2 linked regions of the Drosophila melanogaster genome follow. The protein of the gene in region 1 interacts with the protein of each later gene in a biochemical or structural test. Each region holds a gene or a part of one and is shown on either strand. Other genes may lie near its edges.

Region 1 (9,901 bases):
GTGTGGAAATGCGATTTTTACATATGTGATATAGATTTTAATTGCGGGGCATTAAAATGCAAGTGGCGGCCAAAAATGCGCTTAAAATAATTACATTTATTGCCGCATCGCCGATTTGGCAGCCGACTAAGCGAAAAGCAACCGCAAATGTCGACACAGCAACGCCAAGTATCAAGTATTTCATCCATCGGCCGTGTATCACTAAATAATTTTGCATTTATTTTATATAATACAGTACACATTGCATTAAACTAAATAAAATCTATTTAATATATATATATATATTTAATATGTACTCGTACACAATCAACCCTATATACGCCGCACCTCCTAATCATCCGATTTGTCTTAGTCCGCACTTTTGTGTAGCGTAGTTAATATACGAATCGCCTTTAGTTTTGTTAACAATTATTGCTATTTGAATTCATTATTGGTTTAAGTGTATTCTCGTGTTTGTCGTTTAAAATCCTAACGTATTTTGTTTGTTTGTTTGCGGTGTTTCAAGTTCTCACTTCTCACGATGTCTGCGTCGTTAGTGTGGATATACATATTTAAAATATAGTTTCTATTTAAAGTTCTGTGTATGCTCGATAAACAATTGAACAGCTAAAACAGTTTGCCAGTACACCAAACTCAGCTCGTCAACAATTCGAATTCGGTCGAGTAAACTATTTACAGTGGAGCGTATCAATATAAATTCACCAATTGTGGTTAAAAACATGCAAGCCGGGGCTCGTTGTACAATTGAACTAGAAGCAATCAGAGTGCAATCTTATGGCGAAAACGTAACATTTAGTTGCGATTGCTAGACAGTTTGATGTGATCCAAACGGATGGATGCCCTAAGCAAGCCCAAGTTCAAATTTGAATATATTCTGGGAATGGCGGTGCTTAAGTTCTTAAAGGCTTAGCTGAAGCTAAACGGTAGGTGGTTTTATTTATCGGCGTAAAACAAGGATCCAAAGAAATGTATGACAATTACATTTGAAGATAGATGGTCGTAAGAAATATCAACAGAAGCGAATCAATCAAACTTTGTCTTAAATTTACACAGGAGAGTTATGCAGTGGATAAATTATGCCTAACAAATTATAAATATCTCTAAAATAGGCTCTCAATACATTCATACATAGATTGTTCTCAAGTTTCGTGCACTTTTAACAAATATCTCGTGTGATATCGGTTGCGAACATAGGAATAGACAGACAGAAGTGTGTGTTTCGTGTTTACAGTATACAGTAGTAATACATACGTATGTAATAATAATAATAACAGTAACTATTTAACGCAACGTGGTCGTCAAATGGAAAGGGGGAGGGGACGGTAAAGCAGGCGCTTAACTGGAATTAAACATTAATCAACAAACCGACCACAAATCGACTGCCACTCATTCCTGGCAGAAGCCCTCAGTCTCCTCGATGGCAAAGGTCAGCTTCTCCACCAGCTGATCGTAGCTCTTGTACGGCGGCAGGTCCAATCGATTGAAGCAGGTGTGCGAGCGCGGCAGCCACGTCTCCTTGCCCACCTTCTCGATGCAGAAGCGCTGCGGCCCGTTGGAGCCCATCAGCTCGGCGAATCCTCCGACCGGCACGCGACACGTGCCCGTCACAAACTGCAGCAGGCGAGCTCGCTTCTCGTTATCCGTCTCGCGAACAAACTGTGGAGCCAATTATCCGGATTAGCGAATGGAAAGGGCACAAAGAACACAAAGGAACCCACCTGCCAGAACCAGACAACTTGCTTGGAGTTGCGGTTGTAGTGCCTGTAGATGGTGTTGCGCTGCCAGTCCTCCACGTCCACGTCCTGCATGCCGCACAGAATAAGCTCCAGCTCGCGCTCGTCAAAGTACTTGAGCCATTCCAGGGGCACCACCTCATTGAAGCCTTCCAGGAACGTCTTTGTCTGCTGCTCAATGCCACTGCAATAGGAATCAGTTAATACCGAGTCAAAAATGACACCCATATTGACAACATATTGTCGTTTATCAAGTAAAATGCATACCGTGTCATCCGCCACTCCGTCATGAGGGTGATGTACTCCTCCTTGTTCTCCTCCGTGACGCGCTCCTTTTCCCCGTTCTCCTTCAACTCATGATGGATTATCTGACCGAGCACTTCGAAGTCCACGCTAAACCAGAGCTCCAATCCACACTCATCGATGTTGTTATCTTTTACCCAGATAAGTGAGTTGTAGAACTCCGGATCGATCGTTTCGATGTCCTTGATGGTCAACTTCTTGTTCAGCATGCGCTTGTAAAATGGCATTGTGAATCCACTGTAGATAAACCTTCCATGATACAGGGCCATCGCAATAAAGCGACCGATGAACTTGAAGTACTGCAGGTGATCGGGGTTCACGTACGAGGCGGGATTTATCTGCAGGCTGTAGTTGTTCTTGTTCGCGTACTCAAACAAGCAGTACATGGGATTCAGAACCTCGTGGGAGAGCAAGAAGAACCACTCGCGAGATACACCACCATAATCCAGTCCCTCCTCGCCGCGGAATATGATATAGAGCCGCCTTCGCAGTTCGTAGGCTGGCAGACGCATGATCTGGTGGTATGAATCCTCGAACAGGGTTTGTCGCGTCACCGTGATCTTGATGTGCGATGGCAAAGCGTTGCTCTGGCACAAGTACCGGAACTGCGACAGCTTCCAGCGGAAGCTGCGTTCGTAGGCGCGTGGCACTCCGTACACTCCCTTGGCGCCCTTCGGAGCACCGGGTCGAGGATCTTCGAAGGTGGTTCGTCTCGTGTTGTGATCTACGAAGAAGCGCTCACCGGCGGCTGTATAGCGGATTTCCCAGCCGGGTGGAAGCGGGCCCTCGTTGATCAAGCTCACCTCCTGGCCCTGCGTGCGTGGATCCTCCCACTGGGTGGTTCGGTTCTTGTGGTTAACAAAGTACACTCTGTTGTCCGATTGGATCTGCGTAAGGATTAAGTAAATAAAGGAACGAGTTAAAATAAATACTTTTTCTAATCTAGACAAACGGCTTTACCTTCTTCTCCCAGCCATCTGGTAGTGGACCCAGTGCATCCTCGTCGTCCTGCGTCACCTGGGCTGTCACCGCCGTTGGTTGCTGCTGCTGCTGGGAGTACAGGTATCGCTGGTTGCCTTGAGACACGACGTGGGCCCGCTGACCCTGCCAGTGCTGGAAGTGCATCAGACGCTCACTGTTCGGCCGCTGCCAGGTAGTTTTTCTTGTGTTGTGGTCTACGTAGTAAACTCGACCGCGCCCATCCTTCCTGATCTCCCAGCCCGGGGGCAGCGGTGTCGGTTTCTCCCAGTATGTGGATCGTGTATTGTGATCTACGTAGTATCTGCGACCGTACTGGTCCAGACGGATTTCCCACCCTGCAGGCAGCGGCTCATCATCCGCTGGTTGTGTCTGCAGTTGCGGATCTGTGCTTTGGCTCACGGGCAGTCCAACTCCTGGCTGTTCAATTGGTGGGCCTGCTACTCCAGGTGGTCCTACTGCTGCTCCTCCTCCAGCTGGCAAATAAACAGCAGCTGGTTGTGTATTCTCTGGCAGCGCTCCGTACACTTGGGTTAGAGGACGAGCTAGTGCGGGAGCTGGTGGCTGCTGAGGATACGGAGCTGTCTGCGGCACGGCCGCCCCACTGCCATTGACCATTCTCAGGGGCTGCTGTTGATTCTGGGATTGCTGCTGTTGCTGTTCCCACACCGGGGGCGCCTGCGTAGATCTCCTGTGATCTCCACCTCCATTCGGCAGAGGAGAGCGGGTCTCTCCGCCGTTGCTATTTCCACTGCTCGAGCGTAGTCGCATCCGTGCCCGTACTCCACCGTAAATCATGCAACTTCGTCCGGCGGCCGCATCACTGACCACCGACGGATTGACCGCCTGGACGGGTGGATTGCCATTCTGTTGGCCAGCCACTGGCTGAATCTGCAGCTTGCTCATATCGAGTTTGAGGCCATTGAGGATGGCCACTAGTTCGCCGCTCTTCGTCTGGCGATTGTCCGACTTGCTGGTGACGAACAGGTCGATGGTCAGCTCAAGGAACTCGCACCGCCCATTGTAGTGCTGCAGAATGTGCGCCAGGTTGATGATCCGCTCTCCAAGCATGGCATCTTTACGGAAACTGGAGTGATCCAGCACTTTGAAGTGCAGCGTTGAATTGGGTGTAATCTAGAGACGATAGATCCCGTGGATATTACAAATAATTGACTTTTATTACTGTTTCTACTCACCAGCACTGTGAACTCCTCGTTCCACTTGGGCAAATAGCTGTTCTTCACCAGGTCCGTTTTCCGCTTGCTTTTGCTGTCAATCAAGAGCTCCACGTAGGGATTTGGCTTGAGGAAGCCATTGTTGCGCAGCGAAGCCTCCTCGACTGAAAGGATTTGGGGCCATTATTGATTGAACAGAATGTTTCACTTTCTTTTGTTTGCTCACTTGTCACGCTTAATTGATGATATCCTTGATTGGCACTCCCACTGGCCCCCGCCCCCGAGCTGGAGGTGGGCGTGGGGCTGGCGGATCCCGCTCCATTCACTGTCTGCCCGGCTTCCATGCCGCCGGAAGCTGCACCCGCTGGCAGCCCATTTCCATCGGCCATTTAGTGGCTGAGTGTGTGAGTGCTCCTGGTGCTCCGCCTCCTCCTCCGCCTTATATTCCTCCCTTTGAGTGAAGAGAAAGCCAGTATTGAGCACGCTGCTATTGAATATTGGTGGTGGAAAGTATCGAATGGGGGGAAATTGCGTGTTCTGGACTGATAAGATAAGTCCGGAACACGGTCTACATACGTAAATGGTTTATCAATACCCAAAAATGTACAATGCTGTTGAACAGGAAGCTTTTATAGAGTGGAAATAACTATCCGAATAAAAGTGTTGTACACACTTTTGCTAGGTTTACAGATTACCAACAGGCCTTTATGGGAACCCTGAGTGATTTACTAAGCACTTTTTAGGTGTTATGCAGTTTTCCTTAGTCGCTTTAAGCTCTCGACTACTTATACACCTGATCTTAGAAGGCAGATAATGCCAGCTCTATATCATTATGAAAGCGACTATCCGCAGATAAGATATGGCCTGTATAGCTTTGTGTATTATATAGTGTGTAAACGACAGTATGGCAACAAAACTGTTTGCGAATAGGCCTTCACTTTTTTGGTGAAATAAACTGCTCGAACAAATTGTGAGCTGTAAAATCGGCGCTAATGTATGTACAGTGCAACTCGGTCATATATGAAAGATAAAAATTATGCTATTTCAAGCGAAATTAATCATGACCAAACTGGGTAAACAGTTTATTAAAAAACTGAGTAATGTTTCTGATCCCAAAATATATTCTTTGACTAAGTGAGGCTAGAGTTCTAAATTATTGAAAGAAACTTGTATTACTATAGAAATTCCCCCAAATAAATATATAAATGCACTGATAAGTGCACTTGATTTCGTGGACTTTAAACTACTGGGAAGCACCGTATTATCGCCTATTAATTTTCTCCATAATTTGCGACTGCCACGGCTGTGTGCGTGTGTGTTTCCCTGTACTTTTTCGTACACACTCAGCACCGATTGCTGGTCATCCATAACTTTGATAGCAAACACCCCGCTACACAATAGATTGTATAATAATGTTGCCATGTGAGTCATCGGCTCAACGCGAAAAAGAAAACGGCAAGTGAATTCGGTTTCAATTGTTGAATGGCTATTGCATATTGATTGTGTGCAGGAAGCAACATGGCCGATATGGCGATACACAAGCCCACAAATAAGTTATTTTGTTATATATCGTCAGAACTGAAATCTCAATGCTTTAATGACTTCTTCGCTTTGCTTATCGGCATGCTGATAACTACCATGATTTTCTCGCTGTGTACCGTTCGCGATTTCTCTTTTGCTAGCGTTTTCACTACATTAATTAACCGAGAACACGTGAGCAAGTGCAGCTTGTTGTTTACCATTAGTGTCTACTCATCAGATTCTGTGACCGGATTGAAATCGATTTGGAAGGGCTTTGCATGGATCTGAATGGGACACAGTTCTCCGATCAATTAGCACGCACTTTCCGGCTCATTTCGCCTATCATTCGAGCGCTTATCAGTGGGCCGATGAACAAAGGGAAGCTATCTGGTGGGGCAGCCGGAGCGCGAGCCAAGCGAAGTAATCAGCAACAGCTGTCAATAAGCCTAGAATGCACTTCTCGCTCGATGGATGGGGAGGGGTGGTGGAGGGAGGGGAACTTGAACTTCCTTGAATTATCGACCGCAGGGCTTAGTCACCCACACAGCGCCACTATGCTACAGTACACACATATATATGTGTAGATATATATTTATTCGTGGTCATGTAACGCACGCCAGAAAGAAGGTAACTACCTCTCCCACTCCCACTCCTTCTGTGGGTGGGCGTGTGTGTGTTTGTGTGTGTGCGCTTGTAATTGAGGCAAAGGTCGCGACTTCCGTCCCGCTCGCACTCGCTGCCGCCGCTCTACCGCTGGCGAATTCCAATGCAAGAGGCGTTCCTTTTTGTTTTTAGCAATTTCTGGGGGTTTCTCCTCCTCCGTTTTCCTTTCCTTTCTACCTGTGTCTTACCTTCTGCTGCTTCTTCTTCTGCCTCTGGTGCTCCTACAACTTGCGCCTGTGTGTGTGGTTGTTGTCTCCTGTGTGCGGCTGCATGTGCGAGTGTGTGTGCGGGATTCTTAACTGGGTTTCCCGGGCCCCAAAATTGATGGCTGGATTATTGCACTAGTTGGCGCTGCCGCCCTCGCTTTGGTCCACGTAATCGCGAGCAGTTGATATCGCTGCACTAATTGTTTATTTGTTATTTTGCTTCGCTTGCAAGCAGCAATTTCTAGAGCTGCAACTTTGGACGATGTTTTTCGATACAACTGATGTGGCCACTCAGTGCGCGAATCGATAGGTTGAATTCAATTGGCGAGGCTTGTTATGCACGCTAGACTGGGTTGGCGTACTCGCTATATTGCCAACTTACATGTTCAACCAGAGTTGCCGTACAAGCTCAAAATGGAGTAGCCAACCAGATTTGAAAATGACCGCGAATAGGAATTAGGAATAAAAATAAGAACGTATTGCCCGTAGTCACAACAAAACAAAGGTAAATAATTAGCCAAAAAGTTATGCACCAGCTAGTACTTCTGGCCCCTCTGATTTTATTGGAATCTAAGCTTATTACTCCATATAAATTAGAAGCCCCCTGAATATTCATTACTCAGTTGCGTTGCTCATTGAATTTCTTTAAATGTTATTTAATTTTGTGGTGCTATTGAATAAATATAAAAGCGCGGATTCAGTTCATCGAATAACATAGTGTTTGGCAGTAAAAAGTGCTTACAATGCTAAAATCCGCAAGTGCTTTGCTATGTGGTCTTCTTGCTTTAAATTTGTATGGAGCTTGGGCAGAATCCGATGTGATTTGTCCTTTAAAGGACCCTCCTAGTCAATGTGGAGGATTCTGTCTGGGTGTACTTACGCCCGTGTTAAATCACCTGACCATTTCCCAAAATCTGGCGAATTCCAATAATTCAAGCAAGGCTAACGAGGTCCTGGTGAGACAGTACACGATGGAAGGCCAACTGACTGCTCTGCAGAATAAGCAACTAAGCATTGAAGTCGCACTGGATGCCCAAGGCAGAAAACTGAATGTTAACGAACAGAACTTTACTGAACGACTGAATTGCATGGAAGGCATACTGTCGGCCCTGGAGAAAACAGTCCTTGAAGTAAAAACCAAAATAAAATACCTCGGATTCGAGCAAATCGGCTCAAAGTACTATTACATAGAGAAAGTATCCGAGAAGAACTGGTCCACTGCTTCAAAAACTTGTCGCAATATGGGAGGGCACCTGGCCGACATTAAGGACGAGGCAGATCTAGCCGCCATCAAGGCGAATCTCAAGGAGGACACGCATTACTGGCTGGGAATCAATGACTTGGACCACGAGGGAAAATTCTTGTCCATGCCCACGGGCAAGCAGACTACCTTTTTGAAATGGGCCTCGGGGAGACCCTCTCAGTTGGACACCCTCAACTGCGTGTTCCTATACAACGGGGAAATGTACGATTACCCATGCCACTATACTTTCCGGTTCATTTGCCAGACCGAGGAGGAAGATTTAAATGTATGATTTAAATAGAAACCACATGAGAATAATAAAACCTTTGCTGATGCCGTAACACCTGTGATTTTTTATTCAATCCCTCAAGCCTTCATTAGCTTATCTCTATTACTCACTTTATGGTTACTAAATTTACCAGTTTCACGTTATATTGCACTTTTAGACAAACAAACTGCGCACAAAAAGTGAAATTTCCTTGATTCTCCGATCTTTCCAGTAGCACAAAAACTATTTGTTTAAACAATTATTAGCACTCGTTTTAAATACGAGCACTGAGAGCGGAGAGTCCAAGAAAATTCGTCGTATACCATGTTGTTTGTTCGCTTTCGGACTTTTTCACACATTGTCAAGAGTTTCAGAGAACGCGGCTCAAAGTGAAAATTATCAAAATTTAATGTGCCGACCGCTCCGCATCCGCAGTCATTCGTATCGCGGGCTTCGAACGGAGCAGATCGGAACTTACGGCTACGGACTTCGCACTACGGTCGGGAAGGATTACGCGAAGAGGATACGCGAAAAGGATACGCGATGAGGCAGCTGCTGGTTTACGCGTTGGTCGCGGGCTTGTTTTACTTTTCCGAAGGTAAACTCCACCAGCAAGTGTATTGTGCCAGATTTAAATCAGTTTTGGTTTTCCTACTTTCAAAGGAAAGTGTTCATGAATTCATAAACGTAATTCACTGAAGTATCCTAAAAAATAAAAAATGCCTTGAAATGAATAGTTACAATTATTACAAGAAAGTGAATAGCACCTTCCATTGCTTTAAAAATATGTACAAAATGAAACCATGTAGGAAAACCAAAACTTATTATTCGGAAATCTCCGCTAAAGTCGAAGTGCTTTTCCCATGTTAATGTGAACATTACTCCTTTTCCCATTTCCGCACTGGCTTAACGCAGGCAAGCCGTGCCCCGAAAAGACACGCCCCCACAAAACCCGCTGCGACGCCTTCTACAAGTGCCGGGAACTGCCCTCCAACTCGCACGTTTGGATTCCGGTGAAGTGCAACGAGGGATTGGTGTTCGAGTCCAGTTTGGGCAGCTGCGTTCTGCCTGGCGAGGATTGGGAGTGCATCACCCCGAGTGAGATGAGCTCCACGCAGTCGCCACCTGGGAGGCCGGACGCGGACATACTGATAGTCAACGACATGGACGAGGCGGGTCTGCTTTTGAGCGACTCCAGTCACAAGGACGATGGCACCGTGGAAATAATTCTAGACTCCACACTGAGCAGTGAGGAGAATGAGGTTAATGAGGAGGCGGCCAAGAGCAAGCCGCAGCCGGAGGAGGACTTCTCTTCCAATCACAACTTCGACTCGAGCGGCGATGGGGAGCTGGTGGAACTGGATTCCCCCGCTGGTCTGAAGCCCGAGAACCGCGAGGAGGTGACTTCCAGCAGCATGGAGCACAGAACAGAGGTGGAAAAGCTAAGAACGGAACTTAAACAGGTGGCTGGTATCAGCGAAATAGCCAAGCCGGGATCGCCCATCGATCCCAGCCTGACTGCTCACCTGCAGAGATTGTCCCAACTGATTGATGGACTGCAGCAGACCTACCAGAAGACAGATAAACCTCAGACGGAAATGCGACCAGACCAGTTGAATGCTTTTCTGGCGCACTTTGACATCAAGAACCGGTATGAGATGATGAACCCCATGGAGCAGACCTCTTCCACAATCACCACCACCACCAGTACCACAGAAGCACCCAAAATAAAGCCAAGGCTACCGGAACCCACCTCGAATAAGACCCGCCTGCAGGAGCACCTGAGCCACCATCGCCTGGAACCGGAGACG
Region 2 (5,924 bases), on another chromosome or scaffold:
TGTAAATGATATAGTACAGAAAAATTGGGATATGTTTTGAAAATTACTGGGAAATTCGCTGACCCAATCAAAGTATTTTTAGAATGATTTACGCGAGCAAATCAGTGAGCAGTGTGGACAATGGACTCGCCATAAACAAATAAGCAATGAAAAATATTTAAATATTGAAATAAAAAGTAACAGAAATAAATATAAATAATAAAAAATGAAATAATAAGGATAATTGCTTTCAACAATTATCTATAAATAATTTGAAACATTTTTTAGAATTGGCGACCAGCCATGCAAATGATTTGCTCCCCTTTTTCTGACTGATTTCACCATTTCCATAAACACAGGCGCCTCATATGCTAATTTTCCTTTGCGCAATCAAAAATTATACATCATTTTATACTACGCGCCTATCCATCCGGCTGTTTTCCCCCATTTCTCTCGTTTGTCATTAATCACGTTTAATATGCAATTCTATGCTGTAAAGAGGAAAATAATTGCAACAATAAAATAAATATAAACAACAGCGGGAGTGGCAACCCAAATCCGTTGTAATCTTCATATCCGGAGTGTCGTTGTCTGTGAATTCTGCAATTGGACTCTCCAGTTACACATTTTCCCCTCGGGGATCACTTTTTGCATCATCATTATGGATGGATGGAGCCTCTTTATAGAGAGTTTCTGTATAATGTGGAGTTCGTTTTTTAGTGGGGGGTTGGTTTGGTATATAGGAAGTGCGGGTTAAACGGGAGTCTGCCACTCAGTCACTTCCTTGTTTGACATTTTAATTGCAATGTTGATGGATTTCACTGTTGACACTTTCCTTTTTCACCCCATTAATGAATAATGAACGTTTAGTCTGCAAATTTACTAGCTAGCCAGGCCGCAAAGTTAAATTTGCCTTTCGTGCATACATACAGATATAGTAAATTAACAATAAGATTCCTAAAAGAACATTTTACTTAACAATTATGAAATACTTTCGGTTAAATGCCCTTTTAGCTTTCCCACTGATTTCTTTTGTGTTTCGGACCGTAGTAAATTGTCTGTAAAAAGTCGTGGCCAAGTTAAGTATCATAACTAGAACGTCTTCCGTTCAACACCTCATTAGGCGAACTTTTCAACAGAGGCCGAAAACGACTTTTAATTGTGCCCACTGGACATACACAACCCCTGAAATTTTTTTCTGGCGGGAAGCACAATTGTCCAGAGGGTGAACATGATAAATGCCTTAAATAATGTTCTTTTGCCACCAGAAAATATCCAAGACATGACCAAACTCTAGTGGAGCAATTAAGTGCCAGACCAACTGAAAATGTCATTTAACATTTGTCAGGTAAAAATAAAAGTAAAGCACTCAAATAAAAAACAGCAACAAGTTGCAGACTAATTAAATAATTGAAACATTTTACGTGGGAGTCGCAAAGACACAATGACAAAGAACTAAATGTGTGTGCAAACGAAAAGCCAAACAAATAAAGACATAAGAAAAACGATTCTACAATGTCGCAATTCGACTATGCCTGCTATACGGTGCCCGAGTGTTCCACGGATGATGATGATGATAATGACGATGAGCTGGGCAGTAATGTGACCCTGGAGAACAAGGATCATTCGGATTGCACCCTGGAATCGGATGCTACGACCACCACATCTTCACTGGAGCGTCATATGTATAGGAATCGGTATCGCTCTAATAGAAGTTTCGGACCACAGAGGGTTTCCATGCCCATTCTCAGATCCAGTCGATCCAGGGAGATGACGCCCCAGTTGGGCATGTATCATGAGGGACCGAATCGAGATCCCCAATGGGGTTACTTTGTACCCCTGTCGCCCAACTTCTTCTTTAGTCCACCGATGCAGAGGAGGCGTTATAGGTAGATTTACATTGTGTTTAGTACTTAAAACATATTTAGTTCTATTATTATCAAGTAAAACATACATTGAAAATTCTAATAAATTAAATTTAAATTTCCTTTCAGGGAAAAGGAAAACGATCGCAATCGTCGCGCTGTTAGTTATGGCGGTGACGCCACCTCCTCCCCCCATTCGGCCACCATACCCCGCGCCGCCCCCCGTCGGGTGGCCTTGATGAAGGATCCACCGCCACCGCCGCCACCCAAGCCGCAATTGGGTTCCAAAGCGGATTCTGTATCGCATTTGGCCAGCAAATATCCCCAATCCGAGTACAATCTCATACAGAAAATCGACTCGAACAGCACACTCACTGCTCCGGCGCAATATCAACCGCAGAATTTCTACGCTAATACTGGCACCATATCCTCTACGAATGGCTACGGATCGCTGTTATGTCACGCCAGTTCGACGACCAGTCCGCTGGCGGTCCGGAAGAGGGACAAACTGCTTCATCGCTTCAGCGATGCCGCCACCTTGGGCCGGAAGCTCAAGAAGAAGAAGAACACGAATCGCACCTGCAGATCCATGACGGAGGCCATTGAGATGCTGGCCGATCCCGTCATCGAAGATGAATTCTTTGTAAGTACAATGATTTATGCAAAGAAAATATACGTATTTCCATGGAATTAGAAACATAAAAATCTTTTGGAGCCTCTTAAAACAAAATAGAGTTTCTCAAACCATTTTTTGTCATAACATCATAGAACTTGATTGATATGTATTAAATATTTGGGTGTGGTTTTAAAATAGCTCGAGGTTCATCGTTCAAACCTTTTCATTCTTGGTTTTTTCCCCCAAACATCTGCCCCATTTCACAATTTACGCTTTTAAGGGGTGTATTTGTTTGGCTTAAGCCCCTCATTTCGTCTCATTTCACTTGGGCTCTGCTCAGCTCAGTCCAAGCTTTATCGCAATCACTTTTGTTCTTGTATTCTTCTCCGGCTGGAAACGCTATCCATTGGAAAATGTTCTCGTGTCCGATAGGCTCTTCAAATTCATTGAATTCATTTCAGTTTAGTTCGTATTTGAGCCTCGTCGCGATTGAAACGAAAAGAAATCCACACCAAAAATAAACGATTTTCGTAGGCGGAAGTGTTAGAAAGACAAACCTCAAACAGATAAGGTGGAAATAATAGGAAGTTGACAGATTGAAACTGAGAAGGGCCATTGAATTAAGTGGAGTGACAGAAGTGATAAAAGAAAGGGAAAATTTGAATATATTAAACAAGAAAAATGTGCACTTAGACAGAGGGATTTATATTTGGCCACATCTTTTCCACTTAGTTTTTAACTATAAATTTGGATATTATATTTATGATCCCTGTAAGATAACCTTGAAAGTATTTTCCGACGGCTGAACTCAATTCGCAATCATTAAGTGAAAAAGGGGCGTCAATAATACTATCAAAAGTTCAATAGACCGCACATTCATTGACCCAATCGGGGTACCTTTGAGTTTTTGCAATGTTTTGAGCTTGTAAATTGGTATTGGGGTCGATCAGGGCTAAGCCACAATTATTTGCCAAATCAGTCTTTAATTAACGAACTCAGAGTTGACAGATTAGCATGGCTCTCTTTCTCTCTATTCTCCATTCTGTCTCATCCATATGACAGCTCGGTTGACAGTTCAGGAAGACGAATGTGTCTAACAAAACAAGTGACTCGCAAACTGTGTCAATACTTTGGGTTCGAAAAACAATTTACCTTGCGCAAAGACGACGGCTCGAAAGGTGAACCCCGGCTAATTGGATTGGCAGTGCGTGCCTTCCAGCAAACAACAGAAAAGCAGAAAAAGTTGTTGCAATAAAATCAAACAATTGCAGTGGAAAATCGAACGTGCAGTGTGCCGAACGTGTTGGTCGCGTAAAACCCTTAAAAAATCGGTTATTTTCAATATAGTTTATAGGGTTTATCTCTTTTTTATTGGCCTCTCTCAGGCGTTTTTAAAAACACAAATGTTGCCTGCTTTTGTGCGCTGTTAAACAAGAACGCCATGAAAAATAATTCAACCATATCTATAGCATACTTTTACGCGGTCGAAAATTACATTTGAAAAAGAACAAAAAGTCTCTAAATTAACTCAACACCCTTGAAACACTAATCTGGTTTTATTTTTTTTTTTTTTATATATTTCCAAAGGAAAAAAATATAATTTTGCGTGATCTAATTTTACATGTAATCATAAAACATTCTATCGTCAGTCTAAAGACAGTGTAGATTTTATGTAAAATTAGCCAAGTGAACCTTAAAATTTTTGTTGTTTTTGTTGATTTATTTTATGGTTTTAGTTTGCAACAAATTGAATTTTTTAAAGAACAAAACATAAGTTTCTCACAAAAAAAAAATAATACTTTGGTTTCGACCGTGACAGGACTCGAACCTGCAATCTTCGGATCCGAAGTCCGACGCCTTATCCATTAGGCCACACGGTCGCTTGTTCCAAGCACGCTTAAACTCGAAAACATTTGATACGTGTGCAAGCAACCTACAGCACAAGGGTGGATTTTCTGTAGAGCAAACATTCTGTTATCGCGGGGTGCAAATACAAACGAACAAAAACGAAAATTAAATACAACAAAAATATGAAGCCCAGCACGCGACGTCGCAGTTTCAAAACGAAACCCCCCAAATCGAATGTATATAACCCACTCGTTCGCTATCGCCCGACAGCCTATGTCCGAAATGGAATTATTGGCGGCGCCGAGGGTCCCGGCTCGAGTGGAGTGTACCAAATCGCGGATAGGGTCTATACCACCAGCAAGATGTTTCTACGCGATGGCTATATGTACCCGCGTCAACCGGGTCAGACCATGGATCCCCGTTTCCCCCTCGAGTTGCACGAATTCCCTCAGCAATTCGGCGCCACTGGCCTGCAGTTGGTTAGTGCACCCAAGGTTCATATAGCCGGCGAATATCTGGCCAGTGAACAACAGCAGCAGCAGCAACAACAGCAGCAGCAGCATCAACAGGTGCAGGAGCAACAACAATTGGGCAGAAGAAAGGCTGCGGCAGCCGCCGAAATAAATTTGGCAAATCAGGTTTACTGGCTGGGCAAGCAAAAGACCAGATCCCGATCGCGTAGCAATAGTGTGGGCAATCGGAGCATAACCAGCTGCATGGGCGGCGGTGGAGGGGGTGGCGAAAAGGAAAGGGAACGCGGCGGGGATCGAGATCGCCCCTATATACGCAACGTTGACGATCTTCTCCAGGCACTGGGCAAAAGGGATGGGGGGGATAACAACAGCAATCTGCTCGAAACTGCATCGACGCACTCCTCATCGCAGCGAAGGCGCTTCAAGAAGGTGAGATACAGACTTACAAAGTGTGATAAATGCAACCAAATGCCCTCAAATCTCATTTTCATAAAATAAATAAAAAAAATTCTGGATACAAAAGAAAAAAGTTAATTTTACGACCGTGACAGGACTCGAACCTGCAATCTTCGGATCCGAAGTCCGACGCCTTATCCATTAGGCCACACGGTCAGTTGGCAACTCTGAAAAATATGACTAACATAAAGACGGGCTTTACAAATAATTTAGTTCACCGTTAACAGTTGCTAAATCGTTTTTTATCCGAATACCTCATTTGAGATTATAAATCTAGAACTCTACGTTAAAAACAGTAAATATAAAAATCTTTATGACAGGACTTAAAGTTGGTTATTTTACCCCTCAGATAGAATATATATATTTAAGGGAAATTCCTTGATTTCCTAATATTAAAATTCTTTACGCCATTGAATACCACCACCTCAGCCATCAATCACCGCATTGCATTGCTCTTGGGCAACATCGAAATTTGTCAACTCGCGTTGCAACACTTTCAATTGTCGCTGTGGCACCTTTTTTTTCCATTTGGCCACCTTAATTACATTCGTGGATGTATGTATGGAGGTAGTGTGGCTCGTTCCGCCAGGTCATCATCAGTCATCACTCGTGGCTTGTCTGCAGTGTCCAGAATGGAGGCAGTGAAGCCTACCGCCCCTGGGGTGCGTCTGCGCAAAAATTAAAATT

What was found. Proteins that work in one complex are often made in the same cells at the same time.
Region 2: the proteins of Su(dx) (region 1) and pyd form a complex in vitro, tested with the Drosophila melanogaster proteins (one study listed by BioGRID).

What each region holds. Positions count from the first base shown.
Region 1 is NT_033779.5:2,034,669-2,044,569, reverse strand, and holds Su(dx) (suppressor of deltex), read right to left. Parts: upstream 6,857-9,901; 5' UTR 6,346-6,856; intron 6,043-6,345; exon of another isoform or gene 5,929-6,042; intron 4,838-5,928; exon of another isoform or gene 4,766-4,837; intron 4,641-4,765; 5' UTR 4,579-4,640; coding exon 4,416-4,578; intron 4,354-4,415; coding exon 4,211-4,353; intron 4,149-4,210; coding exon 2,997-4,148; intron 2,924-2,996; coding exon 2,001-2,923; intron 1,918-2,000; coding exon 1,719-1,917; intron 1,657-1,718; coding exon 1,387-1,656; 3' UTR 198-1,386; downstream 1-197. Other genes in the region: lectin-22C, read left to right, coding at 7,323-8,114; CG42296 (uncharacterized protein), read left to right, coding at 8,634-8,688, 9,006-9,901.
Region 2 is NT_033777.3:8,861,349-8,867,272, reverse strand, and holds the start of pyd (polychaetoid), read left to right. Parts: upstream 1-2,924; 5' UTR 2,925-3,031; intron 3,032-3,739; exon of another isoform or gene 3,740-3,771; intron 3,772-4,267; exon of another isoform or gene 4,268-4,279; 5' UTR 4,280-4,490; coding exon 4,491-5,210; intron 5,211-5,320; exon of another isoform or gene 5,321-5,393; intron 5,394-5,924.